Linked DNA regions of Coturnix japonica. The protein of the gene in region 2 interacts with the protein of the main gene of each other region in a biochemical or structural test. Links are inferred from orthologs where the notes say so. Each region holds a gene or a part of one and is shown on either strand. Other genes may lie near its edges.

Region 1 (4,301 bases), about 6.3 Mb from region 2:
GTTTGCTTAGGATGTGTTCCATCCTGGTCATCATCCAGGCTATATTCAGTCCCTGTGCTTGCTGTTTCATTCTCCCCACTCACTTATACAAGAAATTAATTTAGTTTGTAAATTCTGGAACCAGATGCCTAAAGGCAATTGTCCTCTCTAAATTAAATAATATGCTTTACGCCTTGCTTTCCCTGTAGTTCACATCACTCTAAACATATAAATTCCATTCTGGCCAGCTGACCATCAAAACATTTGTTTCTAGGAAACCAAACCCCCTCTACAGGTTTCCAAGAAAAATCATCATCCCAGATAGCATGGGAACTTAAGGTCATTCAAACCAACTGTGTATAATCACAACCTTATATAAAATTACACACAAAGGAAATGCTACACAAATCAGGAAGGGATGCTGCATCCTGGAAATATAGGACTCTGGGAAGGATTTAAGGTTGTGGTTAGAAAAGAAGCTGAACACCATTTTATAGGACAAAAAAAAACAGGAAAAAAAGTTGTGATCAGTGACAGTGATTAATTAACTCTCATGATTCTCCACCTCTAGATTCCATTTTACCAAGCCTGGATTAGATGCATCATCCAAACAAGACTAGTGATAGTAGTGAGTTCACGTTAGGTGATTTAAACTGTCTATGTTATTGAAAAACAGCAGGTTAGAGATCCGTTCTTTTCAACAGGGGCACATTTTCATGAAGTACACTCACAATATAGCATAGGCAAAGCTTTTTAAAACGATGTAATAATGGTTGCATCGGTGGTGTGACAATAATATTGTTATGTTTAAACCTTACTATCCCCAAAGTTCATTTTTTAAGTAAAGAAAAAAATAAAATAATACAGCACATTTAAAACATAATCTTGCAAAAACACTGTCCGAGTCCCTGACTTCATTATATTTTTTGTTTTATACAAAGGGTGCAAAACTCGTAGGGAAAGGATGTACAGACCATGTCTAACCTTGTATTTAGAGTAAATAGTGAACATAAGTTGAATCAGCCTGGCCACCCTCTTTACCAATCATCCAAACCACTTTGAAGTTGAACATTTTGCATCTCTCACTGCTTTTTCATGTCTATGAAAAAGCTTTTCCTCTACCCTGGGAAGTGGAACTCACCTAACAATTGGTTCATGGACAACTTTTGTCTGAGTTGCCTTTTTACTTGTTGTGGCAGTTAAGAATGGAATGAGATGCCAAGGTACCAGATCGTAGGAACTACAGCATTACTGCAAGTTGATTTCTTCAGCCCTAGGCATGCACGTGCAGTTAAGCCTGCAGTAAACTATTGAAAGTGGCAGCATAACTGAGGGCACCTGTAGAAGCAGTGATGTCTGGAAGACTGACAGTGCTTCCAGGACTGAATTAGGCCACTGCTGAAGTGTCTTGTGTGCATTTTCAGCTTTAGGAAGACTCTAAGATAAACATTAATTATTAGTGCAGTCACTTCTGAAGAGCTAACTACCTCTCCAGTTTTGGGTGTGAATGGTGTGGACATCTCTGGGGAGCGCACAAGAAGAAAATGTTTACTCCAAAATTTCCAAGGAGTGTTGGAAGGAAGCAAGAAGTTATCTGCTCACCTGAAATTTTAATTTGAGCTACTTCTCCATCTCCTCCTTCACTGTGTGCTCGGACCTCAACAACATATTCACCATCACTGGGGACTGGGACCTCTATTGTGTGTTTTCCAGTTGAAAACAACTTGCCTTCATGTTGTCCATCAGGTCTATATAGCACCTAGGAAAGTCAGAGCAAACACTGTTATTAAAATCCCACATTTCCACAAACACACAGTTATATACGTACAGTGAGTGAATGAAAAGGTATTACAGAATCACAGAATGACCCGGGTTGGAAGGGACCTCAAGGATCATGTAGTTCCAACCCCCCTGCCTAGCAGGGCCACCAAACATACGCCTTTACTAGATCAGGTTGCCCAGAGCCCTGTCCAACCTGGTCTTGAACACCTCCAAGGACGGGGCATCCACAGCCTCCCTGGGCAGCCTGTTCCAGGACCTAACCACTCTCCTAGTAAAGAACTTCCCCCTAACATCGAACCTAAATCTTCCCTCTTTTAACTTAAAACCATTTCCCCGTGTCCTGCTATTATCAGCCCTTTCGAAGAGTTTACTCCCCTCCTGGGAGTAAGTTCCCTTCAGGTACTGAAAGGCTGCAATGAGGTCACCCCGCAACCTTCTTTTCTCCAGGCTGAACAAACCCAACTCCCTCAGCCTGTCCTCATAGGGGAGGTGCTCCAGCCCCCTGATCATCTTTGTGGCCCTCCTCTGGACCATTTCCAAAATCTCCATGCCTTTTTTGTACTGAGGGCTCCACACCTGGACACAGTACTCCAGATGGGGCCTCACAAGAGCAGAGTAGAGAGGGACAATCACCTCCCTATACCTGCTGACCACCCCTCTCCTGATGGAGCCCAGGATCCCATTTGCTTTCTGGGCTGCCAGAGCGCACTGCTGGCTCATGTTAAATTTCTCGTCTATCAGGACCCCTAGGTCTTTTTCTGCCGAGCTGCTCTCAAGGACAACTCCTCCCAGCCTGTACAGGTGCCTGGGGTTCTTCCGGCCCAAGTGCAAAACCTTGCACTTTGCCGTGTTGAACCTCATTAGGTTCACCCGAGCCCAGCTTTCCAGCCTGAGTATTAGCTTTATGCTTGTATATATCTCAAAACTTAGTTGCAGATACCATCTTTTACCTTTTTATCTAGGGTGAATCTAAATAACATGTTTCTTCATTGCTTTTTCTGTAGTATAGTTTACACCACCTTTTGAAGAATAATTTCAATTTTCTACATTCGGAATGAGTGTTTGAATGATGGAGGATAAGAACAGAGGGTGGCAAAAAATATTCAGTTTAGCCTATAGACTAAATATAATCATACTGGATATCAGGTTGCTACAGTCAGAGCAGATCTAAATGTTAACATAAAACGGCTCACTACCCACAATATTTTCTCATCATATTGACTAAGTCCATCAGCTCTGCCCTGTGTCTACTAGATGTTTGAGATCTCTGAGCCTGACATGTTCATTTTTAGCATGCAATTATATCTAAGCTCCATTAGGTACCAAAATGCATTTCAGTTTATAAAATACAGCTCATTTAGAATACACATTGATAAAACTTATTTTCACAGGTCATACTTTGTATCCTTCAACTGCGGACTCATTTGACATTGCCTTCACATGATCCCAGGTGATGATGTACCTTGAACCAGATCTTACAGAACTGATGATTCTTGGACGTTGGCTTGGAGCTGAAAAGCAACATATATATTAACATGGAAAGAACTGAGACTTCATAAAACTTCACTGACATTTTCATGGATATATAGAAACGTAATAAGGGAAATTAAATCCAATCTTCATAGAGGTAAGCAGCTCCCTTCCTTGAACCAAGTGCTGCAGCTTCAGCCAGACAATTTGTGTATGGCTTTGCAGTGGCTGCTTTGTGGGTTTGCCCTTCTGTGCTGTCAGAATGGAAGTGACCAAAATTACCCTTTACTATGCTGCTGACCATGTGTGTTCGCTGGCATGCAAATACCTTCAGTGCTTCCCTGAAATGTGGCTTAAGTCATATTTATTCATTGAAATTTAATATTTAATTAACCATTTAAAGGCAATTCTAAAGCACTTAACTCAGTAGTAATCAAAGCACCCTGTTGCAGAAACTGTTGATCGTATTTCACACAATAATTGTATAAAATATATTATAATTCAGCACAACCCTGCAGATCTAAGTTGCCCAGTACACTATGTGCTGACAGAAATCCTCAAACTAGTTGTACACATTTTTAGTGCACATAAGTGTGTTTTAAATACACAAGATATATTTCTTAATTGAACATTGCTAAGAATGTTCAGAGAGACCTGGAACATCGTGTCCTGCTTTGGGTCCCCCAGTACAAGAAAGACACTGATAATGTGCAGTGAGATTAACACAAGGCCACTGACCTTGTAGGGAGCTGGAGTACTGCCCTTTGAAAAGGTGAGAACGACAGGCTTGTGCATTCTCAAGATGAGGTTGCTTTCTTAGGAGCAACTTATGAGCAGCCTGTCTGTGTTTATCAATAAGATGGAGTGAGGTTCTCTAAAGTGGTGCATGGCAGGAGGGATGAGTGACAAAAGACACACATTTGAATATCAGAGGCTCAGACTAGATGCTAGGAAAAAGTTAGGCAGCTGAACAGGGCTCACAGGAAGGGTCTCCATCCCCACAAAACCTATCCCTGAGAATCCTGGTCTGAGCCTGCAGCTGACCTTGCTTTGAGAAGGATGTAGGGCCT
Region 2 (4,301 bases):
AGCCTGAACCTCTGATTAATCAGCTGAGACAAGTGTCTGGTCAGCTGCAGGAGCACAGGTGAGGGTAATTCAGCTGTGCTTCCGGAAGGGGTGGAGCTTGACTCCACCTCTCCTAGAATTCATTTAAGGGCTGACCACCACTAAGGCAGCATTTTTTGGAGATTGCTTGTCTGTGGAGATTGTATAACCAGCCTCAGCATTTTCCACCCAGACTGAAGGCATCCATATTGGTGAGTTTTTCCTGTACATAACCTTTTGGATATCTATCACCATCCTTCTTGTATTATTGCCATCTTTTGTATTATTTCACCTTACAGCATCCTATTTCCTACCAGTAACGTTGCATCTCTTTCAATCATGCAAAATGGTTTCAACAGATAAAGCATTTTTCAAAGTTGAGACAATATTTTGCTTTTTAAAAATGTATTCAAAATTTGCTATTTAAAATTCATCTCTGAAGTGAAATACACAACAATAATCAACAGGAAACTGAAAAGCTTGAACTGATATTATGGACACAGAAGTAGTGTCATGCTAAAATTCCATGACGTTTTTGAACTGAAATAACAAAGTCTAAACGAACAGTTCCAAGAACTTCCCATATAAAATGGTTAGAAATATTTCATTTTTTTTACACAAGATACTGAGTTTGCATATTAAGCCATTTTTTTCAGAAACATTCAGACTCCTACTGAAAACAAGAAGTTGCAGGGATCCTTTATGAGATGATTCTTGCTAACATCAGTGGATATTTCAATCTCCTATAAAGAATATATTCAGCTCTCAATATTTATTAAGTCATTCATTTTATAGTTAGTGTGTACAGATATTCTTTCACTGCATTTCTTATATCAAAATAGTTTAACCTGATCTCATAACAGAGGCTGATAAAAGGACTCTACTTACCTAACTTTCTGTCTGCAGACAAACAAAGCAGTAACAGCCACTACCATCACAATGAGAAACAAACCAGCACTCACACCTTCAATAACTCCAAAGAGAGGCTCTAGAAACAAAACAGTGTTTTTACACATTTTGAAGAAAAGACATGAAGAATCAAAAAATCACCAGTGCCCAGAGAATATGTTACTACTATTAGCTAGAGGAAATGGTTAAATTAAAGGAAATTCAAAGTGTCTGAACAACTAAACTAGGCCTTGGTTTTCTGTCCTAATTTTTTCTAAATGTTATGCAAAACTTTTCATTCCCAACCACAGCAAAAGAAAGCACAGCTCCATCATGTAGGAATTCAGCTTTCTGGTATGTCAAAGCTTTCTTGACAACAGCATCACTGAGCATTCACCTTTTTCTCTGCTGTCAGCAGCTCTACCAAGCAGACCTTTTAATTTTCAATTTCATGGCCTATCCATGGCAAATAAGGGCCATGGATAAGCCATGGCTTCCGCATTATTTCAAAGCAGACTTCAGGACACTGCATGACAAATCCTTGCAAGCAGTTCTGGATACCAGAGCGTTTTGAGTTGCAATGTATAATCACTTGCTACAATGACTGAAAAGCAAGCTTGAAACTAACCTGCCTCCGTAGTGATTGGTAAAGAGAAGAAGGTGTCTGCAAAGAGTGGTTGAGGAAGTTCCTTTGGGTCTTCACTGAAGAGCTGGGTAAAAGCCCGTATACTGATCCTAAAAAAAAAATACCCAGTTCAGTTTACAGTTACTAGTTAAGTTTATCAGATGTTCAGAGTCAACTGTGGAAAAATAAGAGATTCAGATAAGAAATGACCCGTCTCTTAGAGATGATTAAAGACTTTCCATTGACAACAGACTGCCTGGCATGTGCCTTCTGTACATGTCACTGTCTGGTAAGCATCATGCAGATCTTTTGGCAGAGTGTTTGCCTGAAAGAAGGGTGAGACTGAGATGCACTGGAGTTCACATTTGTTTTCATAGCCTGTCCAACTGCTTGGTCTTGGCAGTAGTGCTCTTCTATATCCTACAGCTCACCCAGTCTTAGCTCTGGAGCCTCTGGACTGTGCCATGGATTACAACAACCTGCGCAATTTTCTACTTTGTCCCAAAGGACTTGTGTGAGTACATAGTGACAAATAAATTCTATGCAGCGTTCTTGCCTTCTCTTGTTATGTAATCTTCTGACTTAGATGACTTAGTGTTTCTAAAGAGGGATTTACTAACTATAGGAAAGGTCTTGACCAAAAGGAGATAAACAAACACACTATATGTAACTATTGGTATCATTCCCATGCTAATGAAAATATCGTTTCTATCCATGGAATGGAGCATGGATAAAGCTTTTATAAATTATGCCATGAAACACAAGGAACATTATACGGCCCAGTTATTTATCTTCAGAAGCTCAAGTGTGTCAGACACTCAGCACTGTGCCTAATAATGTGACAGAGCACAATTACCAACATTAATCTCACCTATAAGCAGTCCGAGGCTTCAAGGGTCCATCGCAGAATTTTTGCTGATCTGGATCACACTTTCCTCCCAGATTTTCCATTTCTCCTCCAAGCTTAATGTCAAAGCTTTTATAGTCGCTGTCAGGGTTTTCAGCACATCTACTAGCAAAATAATTGGTCTGGTAGATGCGTATGGAGTCATTGTGTTTGTACTCCAGGTAAGAAGGTAATGGGTGTTGCTCGTCGGGTTTTGGTCCTTCACTGCCTACATCATGTGCAGAGAAAGACAGAAGGTTTACATATCACAGCCATTAACACAATGCAGTATTAGAAATTCAGGGTGTTGATGGACCAAATCCTTATTATCCAACTTCTGAGGCTTTCCTGGAGGGAAGGCAAGTTAAAAAATATCCCACAAATTGACAAGAGTGGTCTACTGTATGCAGAGAAAAAATACATAGGAAATGACAGAAGTCTGCTGAAAGAGAACTAGCAATAGCATGCATAAAACTTAAGTAGGCCAAAGACTGGCAATGAGTAGTCAGTCCCTTTCTATGAGAGCTCTATAAACTGCTCAAGCACAACCAAGTAGACAGTGGAAATATTTCCTCTTTTTTTCTTTTTTTTTTTTTTTAACCTGAGGGCTGATCACAGAATCATAGAACAGACAGAGATCTTAAGAAACTTTATCAAGAATCATAAAATACCAGCATACTGACACATGAAGCTGCTTCTAAAGCCTGTATTAACTGTCAAGACATCAATCTGCATTGCCACATATAGGTCAACTACAGAAAAGGAGGCTTACGTACATACTGCAAGGACAATTTCTGCTCTGTTCTGCATGTAAAGTCATATTCTTCAGTAAGCAAACTCTACCTGAATCATGTTACTTTTTCCTTCTCTGCATGGCTTACTGGGGTTTTCCAAAAGCTGTCTTAGTGTTCCCCCTTACAACTGAACTACTTTTTGAGATCTGTGCAGAGCAAGGCAGGCTATTCTATGTCCTCCATCAATGGCATCTGTCAACCAACGTAAGTCTTCTGCTGTGGAAACTTTCTGATCTTACATGAGAGCATCTCCTAGAGCACAGAACCTAACTAACTACCGCTTCTGGCTAGGATCTGCAGATGCTACTTACCTTCTGAGAGGAGGACTGAATGCTTAAAATTCCAGGCTAAGGAGCCATAAACTTTCAGTGAAAGTCAGCAACTATATAAGAAGTTACTTTGCTGTGTAGTGATAGGGGTGTACATCTGCATGTAAATCATACAGGCTATAGAGAGAACGGTATTAAATGATACTTACCATCAGCCTCTCTGACAACCACAGTAAAGTACTTCACAGCTCCATTAGTATCACTAAACCAGCTGCAGTTAAAAGTAAAGTTAATGGAGGATTTGGTAATCAGCACCTCTTTCTTGTTTACTCGTATGTCTGGAGGTGGCTGAGGGGGACCTGAGAAATGAAACAAAAAAAGTAAAGAAAAAACAAGGAAAAGAGTTATCTATGTATTTGCTGTGAGCTATACCTAGCAAAGGAAAGGCAATTCTTAATAAAGTTCAGATGACTGGACCCAAGCCTCCATTCTATTCTCTTGCAGTCAAGAAAATGTCTTCACCTCCCACAGGGAAACTGCCAAAGGACGAAACAAGCCAATGGTGAGTCAACTGTAATCACAGTGGCAGCTCCTCAGTAGGAATTCCTGCAGAAACCCACTTGAAAATGCATTAAAGTCCTGCTAAATCTATGAAATCAGAACCTGTAGCTGCTGAAGATGACACAAGTTTAAACTAGGTATATGGAAGCCCGTTAGCCCACTCACTACAGGAAGTTACCTATTTTAAGCACCTAAATTTCTGTTTCCCTTTCCAAATGAAAAGCACTGTCAGACACAGCATTTAACTACAGAATACCATT

What was found.
Region 1: the proteins of PTPRB (region 2) and CNTN1 form a complex in vitro, tested with the Homo sapiens proteins (2 studies listed by BioGRID). The link is inferred for Coturnix japonica from reciprocal best matches to the Homo sapiens genes PTPRB and CNTN1.

The regions. Positions count from the first base shown.
Region 1 is NC_029516.1:26,178,226-26,182,526, reverse strand, and holds part of CNTN1 (contactin-1), read right to left. Parts: intron 3,273-4,301; coding exon 3,160-3,272; intron 1,739-3,159; coding exon 1,582-1,738; intron 1-1,581. UniProt on the Homo sapiens protein: Contactins mediate cell surface interactions during nervous system development.
Region 2 is NC_029516.1:32,509,070-32,513,370, forward strand, and holds part of PTPRB (receptor-type tyrosine-protein phosphatase beta), read right to left. Parts: intron 3,840-4,301; coding exon 3,690-3,839; intron 2,647-3,689; coding exon 2,403-2,646; intron 1,642-2,402; coding exon 1,535-1,641; intron 1,007-1,534; coding exon 907-1,006; intron 1-906. UniProt on the Homo sapiens protein: Plays an important role in blood vessel remodeling and angiogenesis. Not necessary for the initial formation of blood vessels, but is essential for their maintenance and remodeling. Can induce dephosphorylation of TEK/TIE2, CDH5/VE-cadherin and KDR/VEGFR-2.